Linked DNA regions of Coturnix japonica. The protein of the gene in region 1 interacts with the protein of each later gene in a pairwise test. Links are inferred from orthologs where the notes say so. Each region holds a gene or a part of one and is shown on either strand. Other genes may lie near its edges.

What was found.
Region 2: the proteins of CASK (region 1) and TBR1 interact in a two-hybrid assay, tested with the Homo sapiens proteins (2 studies listed by BioGRID and IntAct). The link is inferred for Coturnix japonica from reciprocal best matches to the Homo sapiens genes CASK and TBR1.

Annotation. Positions count from the first base shown.
Region 1 is NC_029516.1:100,754,604-100,758,833, forward strand, and holds the start of CASK (peripheral plasma membrane protein CASK), read left to right. Parts: upstream 1-1,147; 5' UTR 1,148-1,681; coding exon 1,682-1,740; intron 1,741-1,867; exon of another isoform or gene 1,868-2,016; intron 2,017-4,230. UniProt on the Homo sapiens protein: Multidomain scaffolding Mg(2+)-independent protein kinase that catalyzes the phosphotransfer from ATP to proteins such as NRXN1, and plays a role in synaptic transmembrane protein anchoring and ion channel trafficking.
Region 2 is NC_029522.1:25,315,272-25,319,604, forward strand, and holds the start of TBR1 (T-box brain protein 1), read left to right. Parts: upstream 1-1,520; 5' UTR 1,521-1,662; coding exon 1,663-2,354; intron 2,355-2,655; coding exon 2,656-2,810; intron 2,811-3,061; coding exon 3,062-3,183; intron 3,184-3,401; coding exon 3,402-3,560; intron 3,561-4,009; coding exon 4,010-4,071; intron 4,072-4,333. UniProt on the Homo sapiens protein: Transcriptional repressor involved in multiple aspects of cortical development, including neuronal migration, laminar and areal identity, and axonal projection.

The DNA.
Region 1 (4,230 bases):
AAATGAGGGCTGCTCCGAAAGTAATGCCTCCTACTTGATTATGTTGGCCCAAAACATCAGAAGCAGATGTTGGTGGTATGGCAGAAGATGTCAAACCTTCCCACTGAAATTCTGCTCCGTTTTGTAGCCATATGACAGATGGCAGCAGAGGGGCACTGTGACACAGTGGCATCTGATGTGGAAGCGCATACAAAGGTGTGTCACTGAATTCTTCCAGGCTGAAAAAAAATGGCACCCACTGACATTCATTGATGCTGAATGTTGATGGAGACCAAGCAGTGGATGTGAGCACAGTGGGGCGGTGGGTGGTGCCTTTCAGCAGTGGTGACAGTGGCAGTGGGTCACCTCTGCTGGTGTGGATTGTTAGGAGCATGACATGCAGGCTCATGTTCATGGCTGTAGAAAATGCATAGCTAGTGGTGCTGAGCATTGAAAAAACAGTGTTTCATAGCTGAGAATTTACTCTAGTAACAAGTAGTGCCATTGTGCTCCTTCTATCTGTAGTGGTTTCCATGCAGACAAATAGGAGACACGACCTTTGCAGAAACCTACACGCTTTGGAAACTGCAACAGCTCCCAACTAATTCAGGCACAGAATCACAGAATCGTAGGGGTTGGAAGGAACCTCTAGAGATCATCGAGTCCAACCCCGCTGCCAAAGCAGGCTCCCTACACCTGAACACAACGCTCTTCTGCAAGGCTTCTAACTCAGAGCTCAGGAAAACAGAATCACAGAATGACCCGGGTTGGAAGGGACCTCATGTAGTTCCAACCCCCAAACAGCCCCAAACGCCAACAGCCCCTCAAAGCTAGGACAAAATCCGCTCTACCCGTCCCCGGACAAAGGCGCAGAGCTCGGGCAGAGGAGCTGTTAGGGCAGGCAGGGCTGCAGGGTGCAGCCGACTGAGGAGCACCCCTCCCCACACCTACAGCCGGCTCAACCCTCCCCACCGCGCTCACTGACAGCCGCCCCGCGGAGCCCCCTCCCGGCGCCATGACGTCATGGCAGTGCGCGCCTGCGCACGCCGCGCCGACCGACCCCTGTGCGTGCCTTTGCGTGACGGCGGCGGGGAGCGCGCGCGCGCCCCCGCCCTCTCTCCGTCCCTCCGTCCCTCCTTCCCTCCCTCCCTCCCCGCGCTGCCAGCGCCTATCGCGGCCGCCGCCGCCTCTTCTCCTCGCGGCTGGGAGCGGAACCGACGGCCGCCTCCCCGCCCCTCCCCCTCCTACTATTATCCTCCCGCACGGTGCGCGCTCCCGTAGCCACCCTCCCCCCCCCTCCATCTCCTCCCCGGTGCCTCGGGAGCGCGCCCGCTCGGCGAGGGAGGGATCGAGCCGGCGCTGCCGCCCGCCACCGCCGCCTATCCCCTCCATGGAGCTCGCGCCGCCCCGCTGAGCCACAGCCGCCCGCCCGCCGCTGCCGCCGGGGAGTAACCGGGGGAGGGAGGAGGGTGGGGGGAGGAAGAGGAGGAAGGTGGGGTCGCGGGGTGCGTGACACGCGCGGCGGCCCGAGGAGCTGAGAGCCCCTGCGGCCGAAGGTTGCGGCTGTTGGCGCTGAGCGGCGGGGGAGCGCGCCGCGCGGCGGGGAGCGTGTGCCCGCGGCCCCCCCCGCTTCCTTCTCCTCCTCCTCCTCCTCCTCCTCCTCCTCCCCCCGCACCCGGGGCCGCCGCCTGACGGGCGGACCATGGCCGACGACGACGTGCTGTTCGAGGACGTGTACGAGCTGTGCGAGGTGATCGGCAAGTGAGTCCCGCGGGGAGGGGGAGGGGGGGGAGAAAGAAAGAAAAAGGAGAGGGGATGGGGGAGAGCGGAGCCCCCCCCCCCCACACACACACACACCCAGCGCGGGGATGGCGTGCCCGGCACCCACCTGAGTCGCGGTGCGGGCAGCCCCGGCGCTGCCCACCGCCCTGAGGTTGGGGGGAAGGGGGGTGGGGGGAAAGGAAGGCGCCCCGGTGCTTCCTCAGCCACCATGATCCCCGCCCGGCCGGCCGCCGCGCAGCCTGGCGCTGCCCAGCCCTCCCGTTCTCCTCCCCATCCCCGGCACACCCATCGGTGGTTGCCTGCTTGAAGAAGGATCGCTGTGGATCCACCTATCGCTCGGGTGGCCGCGCCAGGTGTCGGCTCTCCCCGCGCCTTGGCGCACAATGAGCGGCGTGCTGCCGGCGGTGCCCCTGGCACCCCGTGCTCGCGCGGATCTGCCTTCGCTCCGCTCCCCGGCGGCGTGTGAGGCAGGGGGAGAACTTGGCCTCTCCTGTCTCCTTATGCAACTGTTAATGCGTGTTCGTGTCAAACCTCGGAGGTCGCCGGCGTTTTCTGGCTGCCCGTTTTGGGCCACGCTCCTGTGGGCTGCGTGGAGATGACAGCTCCGTGCGTTACCACACCAAGAAAACGCAGAGCATCCCCCAAATCAGATGGCACCGAACGGGAGCCCAACTCTCTGTATTTTCGTGACCAGCCAGTTTCTAAATCCTATTTTTGTTTTATTTCGTTGCGTTCCACACGCCTCCTATAGTTGTGCTTGGGTTGAGTGAAAGATGTAGCGGTGTTGCTGCTTCTAATTGTCTGCGTGTCTGACTGAGCAGCTGAGATTGCTGTGGGAGCCGCTGCTCTGGGTGCCTGCAGCTCTTTCTTCCTGAGGATGAATTCAATCAGAGCGGCATTCCCCGTGTTTTGATTATAAACAAAGAGTTCTTCTGCATGTATTCTCCCTCCCGCTCCCCTCCAGCGTGCTTCACAGTTTCTATCTGCTGCTGCCTGCTTTGAGAGCTCAGGCTAAAAATATTCTGGAATTAATCTTTCCTGAGGATTATACTAAAATGCTCGTCTTGGACTTAGCAGGTTACTTTGTTGGCAGCTGAAGTTTCAGCACTCTGCTCTGTCGTTTCACACGGTTATTACCACCTTGCCCTGGCCACAAACAACTTTTAAAAATAGGAAGCTTAGAGGGCCTTGCTTGCTGTCATAAGCTGAAAGGGCTTTCGCCAGTTGTTCGTGGGGAGCTTATGTAGCCGAGAAACAAAACAGTGATTATATGTGGTTTGAAGATGGTTTTTGGCATGCTCCTTTCATGAGTGGTTTTAAGCTGACCACTGCAGTTCACGCACTGCTTCCTCAGAGCTGGCTGCCATTGGAAGGAAAGTGAAGTGCTTCTGCTTGACAGGACTATGTGAGCTTATAGAGAATGGCTCATTCGCAGCCATCCAGATGTTGATGCGGCTCCACTGACTTTCGATGTTGTGATCTGAGAATATCAAAGGGATTCAAGGTTCAGAACCTGTGAATTGTGAAGCTTCTTTGGCTGATACCTGAGATTGAATTATTCTGGATGTGTTGTGATGTAACCTGATCTAACAGATAAGTGTTGGATTGTAGGAGCACGGCGCTGCCAAGAGCACTGTAACAGAACAGGGTGGATTACTGAAGCTAGCAGTGGTGGTAGGAAGGGGTTTGCGTATGGATGTTGTGTCCCTCCTCTAATAGGCACAGTTGTATTTGTACAGTTGTATGAGCAGTGTTCCTGTTTCATTGCAGTGCTACTCAGGTGACTTCTGAGCAATCGGGGATGCAGCGTCTTTAATTAGCTTTCACATTTTTGATAGCACCCCGCTCTTCTTTAGGCAACATGGGGAAAGCCTCATGTAAAATCTGCCTTGAGTTGCTACGTATGCATCTGGCTAAACATCTATCAGTGAAACACCAACTAAACGTCTGCACCTTCCCGTGATTTATTATTGATTGATTGAGTAATCTGCTTCTTGCAAATAGCACATCCGGCCCCTGACTTGTGTTTAGGTCCATGAAATATTAAAGCGTGTGATTTATCCTTCCTAAATGGGTAGTTATCGCTGTCATTTAAAGTAGTAAATGGTATTTCCAGAAAGGGTGTGGGAAAGAGATTTTGGACCGTAAAACAACTGAATATTTTGCCTGACTTTGTAAGAGAAATCTCAAAGTTCCCATACAGTCTACTTGAGAAATAAGTCCTCTATGGGTGTTCCCTTGCTGGCAGTATGTGGCCCTGTTTGTTGAAGCTTTTGAATAAACTTAAAACAGTTTCAAATGCGATAAACTGATAAGACTTATTTTGTATAAACACAATGATAATAGCTTTTTGCCGGAGTGTGGAGCAGTAACTGTAATAGTATGTGAAAGAATTGATCGGGATGACAGAGTGATGAATCGTTTCTTACGTGGCATTTAATGTGTTTAAGTTCTGCAAGCATGCATTTT
Region 2 (4,333 bases), on another chromosome or scaffold:
TAGCACTTCCATGTGATTGGCAGTACACCACTGAATTCATTGCAGCTCTGCATGCGTATGGGGGTAGCGACACAATTCGAGGCCGCATTTCCTGGGGTCGAGATGTGTTTCGACATAGCTCCTGCATGTGTATCCAACCCCATTCCCTTTGCACTGGGGTTGAGCAGAGAAATGCAGAGGCAGGCACATGGGTGAGATGGGTCAGGAGCAGAATTAAGGCTGAGAGCGATAAAGCACCAACTGGGGAAGGCACAGTGCAGAAAGTTGCCTATGCCATACCACCAGACTGTGAGCAAACACCTGCTTTTTGCTTCATGCATGATTTTCTTACAACAATTTCCACTCAGCGTGTGCAAAATAGCTTCTCTTGCACACCAGCCACTGGGATGAGCTGCTGAGCGACTCCCAAATGCCTGCAAGAGGTGGGAGTCTGAACCTGCCCCGTAATGGGTCGCGGTGCTGCCGGCACACCCTGGGCTGAGTGCACGAAGTTGCAGCCGTTGTGCATCCGACAGTGGGGCGGCCCTGGTTGCTTTATCCGGGAGTGAAATTGGAAGCTGGTGTCAGCAGGGAAGAGAAGTGGTGGGGAGCATCCCTGGGGTCCAAAGCGCTAAGGGGAAAATAGTAAAAAAAATTAACCAAGTGTGTTCCCCTCCGGAGCAAAAATAATAGTCACACGGACGCAAGTGGGGCTTTTAACAGCTTTTCAGTTCGCCCAGGGAGGGCAGCGGGAGCACCGCGGCCTTCCGCAGGTTCCCCCGCCTCTCCGCCCCGGGGGCCCAGGCGGCTCCGCGCTGCGGCCGCGGCCCGTCGGGAGGAAGCTGTGCGCTCCGCGAGGTGCCGAACCGCGCCGGCAACGCGCTACCGAAGCTCTCCATCCCATCTCAGAGCCGTGTGCGGGACCGAGTCACACCGGGGGGTGGGGGGAAAACAGCAGCGAGAGGCGCGAGCCCCGGAACAAGAGCGGATGGCCGCGTCGTTTGGCTGATAATCCGCGGCGTTACAGCGCCCCGATATTTATTTCCTACGGAACCCGGGAACGCGCGGCGGGCGCCTCGGGGCGGACGGGCTGCACGGTTCTCGCTATTCCTCAACTTGGGGCCGAGCCCCGGGGCCCGGCGGCCGTCCCCGCAGGCGGGGCGGGGGCACGCGGTGTTGGGGCAGCGCGGGGCAGCGTTCCAGCCGCGGTCGAAAAAAGAACATAAATGCGGGAAAGGTCACAGAATAACGAGCTCTAGCAGCAAACACGCTCTTCCCTTCCCCCCTTCGCCTTCCTTCTATCTCACAATAAAATCATCTCCTTCAATTTGCCATGATCGTCGCGACCGGGAGCCAGGTGATTATCCTAATTAATGTCTATCTAATTAAATTACTGACAGCGGTTAACCAATGGCAGGAGCCGTTTCATCCTCTCCACAAGCAGCGAGATCAAAAGTGAGTCTTTCCTGATTGCTGCATAGTGTCAATTGGCCAATCTCTTCTCCCAGGGAAGGAAGGAAAAAAAAAAAAAAAAAAAAAAAAAAAAAAAGTAAATCAAACGTTTGGGAAGCATTTGGTGGATGAAGTGCTTTCTGCCTACCGAGGGTCCCAGGATGTCTCGCTTCTGGTAGCGAGCAGCCCTCAGCTCCAGGGACGGAAGGGTTATTGCTGCGGTGCAGAGCGATGCAGCTGGAGCATTGTCTTTCTCCCTCTATCATGCTCTCCAAGAAATTTCTCAATGTGAGCAGCAGTTACCCACACGCAGGCGGATCCGAGCTTGCCTTGCATGATCATCCCATTATCTCGACCACTGACAACCTGGAGAGAAGTTCACCTTTGAAAAAAATTACCAGGGGGATGACGAATCAGTCAGATACAGACAATTTTCCCGACTCCAAGGACACACCAGGGGACGTCCAGAGAAATAAACTCTCTCCCGTCTTGGACGGGGTCTCCGAGCTTCGTCACAGTTTCGATGGATCTGCCGCAGATCGCTATCTGCTCTCTCAGTCCAGCCAGCCCCAGTCTGCTGCCTCCGCGCCCAGTGCCATGTTCCCTTACCCCGGCCAGCACGGACCCGCTCACCCGGCCTTCTCCATCGCCAGCCCCAGCCGCTACATGGCTCACCACCCCGTCATCACCAACGGCGCCTATAACAGCCTCCTGTCCAACTCCTCGCCGCAGGGCTACCCGGCGCCGGGCTACCCCTACCCCCAGCAGTACGGCCATTCCTACCAGGGCGCCCCGTTCTACCAATTCTCCTCCGCCCAACCGGGGCTGGTGCCGGGCAAGGCTCAGGTCTACCTGTGCAACAGGCCGCTCTGGCTGAAATTCCACCGGCACCAGACGGAGATGATCATCACCAAGCAGGGCAGGTAAGCCGCCGCAGCCGCCGCGCGGAGCCGCCGCGGGAGCCGCCCGCCGCCACCACCCCGGGGGAGCCACCGGGACCCGGGCAGCCCCGCGCCCGTCCCTACGCGCAGCGCTGCGCCCCGGGCACGGACCCGAGCCGGGATTTTATTCCCCTCTCGCCGCCGGGAGCTGCGAGGATGGCACAGCGGGACGGCTCCTCCGCGGGCGCGAGTCGCCGCTTGCTTTCTTTTTGCCTTTATTTTTTTTTTAAAATTTTTATTTTTGCCTTTTTTTTCATTTTTATTTTTATTTTTTTTTTTATAGGCGCATGTTCCCTTTCCTAAGTTTTAATATTTCTGGTCTCGACCCCACGGCTCACTACAATATTTTTGTGGATGTAATTTTGGCGGATCCCAACCACTGGAGGTTTCAGGGAGGCAAATGGGTTCCTTGCGGCAAGGCGGACACCAATGTACAAGGCAAGTTTCTCCAATTAACACTTTTCTCGACACATATGTAGGTGAGAACGATTAATTAAAGCCTTTGTGTGCCGACTAGCGCGTGGAAGGGTCGGCGGCGCTTTGAGAAAAGAGAGGGTGGAGGAGAAAGCGGAGGGCGATGGGGGAACGCGGTGCGAGCGGTGAAAGGGGGAATCGGCGCTGCCCTCGCGGGGGCTCCGCGCTGTGCGGGCCCGGTACGAGCCGCGATGCCGCTCTGTCGTTCTGCCCAGGGAACCGCGTGTACATGCACCCCGACTCCCCCAACACGGGAGCGCACTGGATGCGCCAGGAGATCTCCTTCGGGAAGCTCAAACTTACCAACAATAAAGGAGCATCGAACAACAACGGGCAGGTCAGTGGGGGAACGGCTCCGCTTATTTTTGTTGTATTGGGCGGAACCCCGCACTCCCTGATCGGACGAGTATAGACGTGTTTTAGTCGTGATTTTACGCTACCGTGGCCGGCTGCCGGGGCAGAGGCGCTCCGGGCGGGCGGCGGTGGGTCCTTCCCGGCCCCGTCCTCCCCGTTCTGATCCCCGCTTCTCCCCGCTCCCGTCCCTGTGCCCGACAGATGGTGGTCCTGCAGTCCCTGCACAAGTACCAGCCCCGCCTGCACGTGGTGGAGGTGAACGAGGACGGCACGGAGGACACCAACCAGCCGGGCAGGGTGCAGACCTTCACCTTCCCCGAGACGCAGTTCATCGCGGTCACCGCCTACCAGAACACCGATGTAAGGCGCTCCCCGCAGGGCGCGGCAGCTTCTCCCCCTCTCCTCGCCCTCCGCTTTGCCTTCTCCCGGGGCCGAGAGCGGCGTTTCCCGGTGCCCCGAGGGGCTCCTTTAGCGCGGCCGCGATGTGCGCTCCGCGGCGCCGTCCCCGGTCTCGGTGCCCCCCGCTCCCTGCCCTGACCGCTCGGCCCCGGGCTCCGTGCGCTCAACGCGGCTGGAGCTCGCGGCTCTGCCCGCACCCGGTTGTATGATGGGACGCAGATCGAGTAACGATATTTCTGACAATACGGTGTTAAGTGGGATATCGAGCGTGATTTTTAGAATCAAGTAAATCTCAGCGTTCCCTTTGCCATGTCTGCGGGCACGCCACTCCGCCGCGTTATCTCCACGCCCTAGCGGCGATCCGGCGGACCTTCCCGCTCTCACCCCTCGCTTTTCTCCCCCTTCCCCAGATCACGCAGCTGAAAATCGACCACAACCCCTTCGCCAAAGGCTTCCGGGATAACTACGACACGTAAGTGGCCGCGCCGCGCCTCTGAGCGGCCTCGGGGGCAGCGGGCGGGGGCGAGGGGGCGGCCCGCGGCTCCCGGTGCGCGCAGCGGGGAGGGCGCGGTTGTGGCGGCCGCGTTCTCCTCGTGCAGCTGAGAACCAGGAGCGTCCTCTCGGTTCGACACTCGTGGGGCTTCGCCGTCCCCGCTGTTAGTGGGAGAGTCCACTCTCCCCTCGATGCCCCGGGACCACCGTGCGGGGCCTTCCGAGAGGCCCGGTGGCCTTCG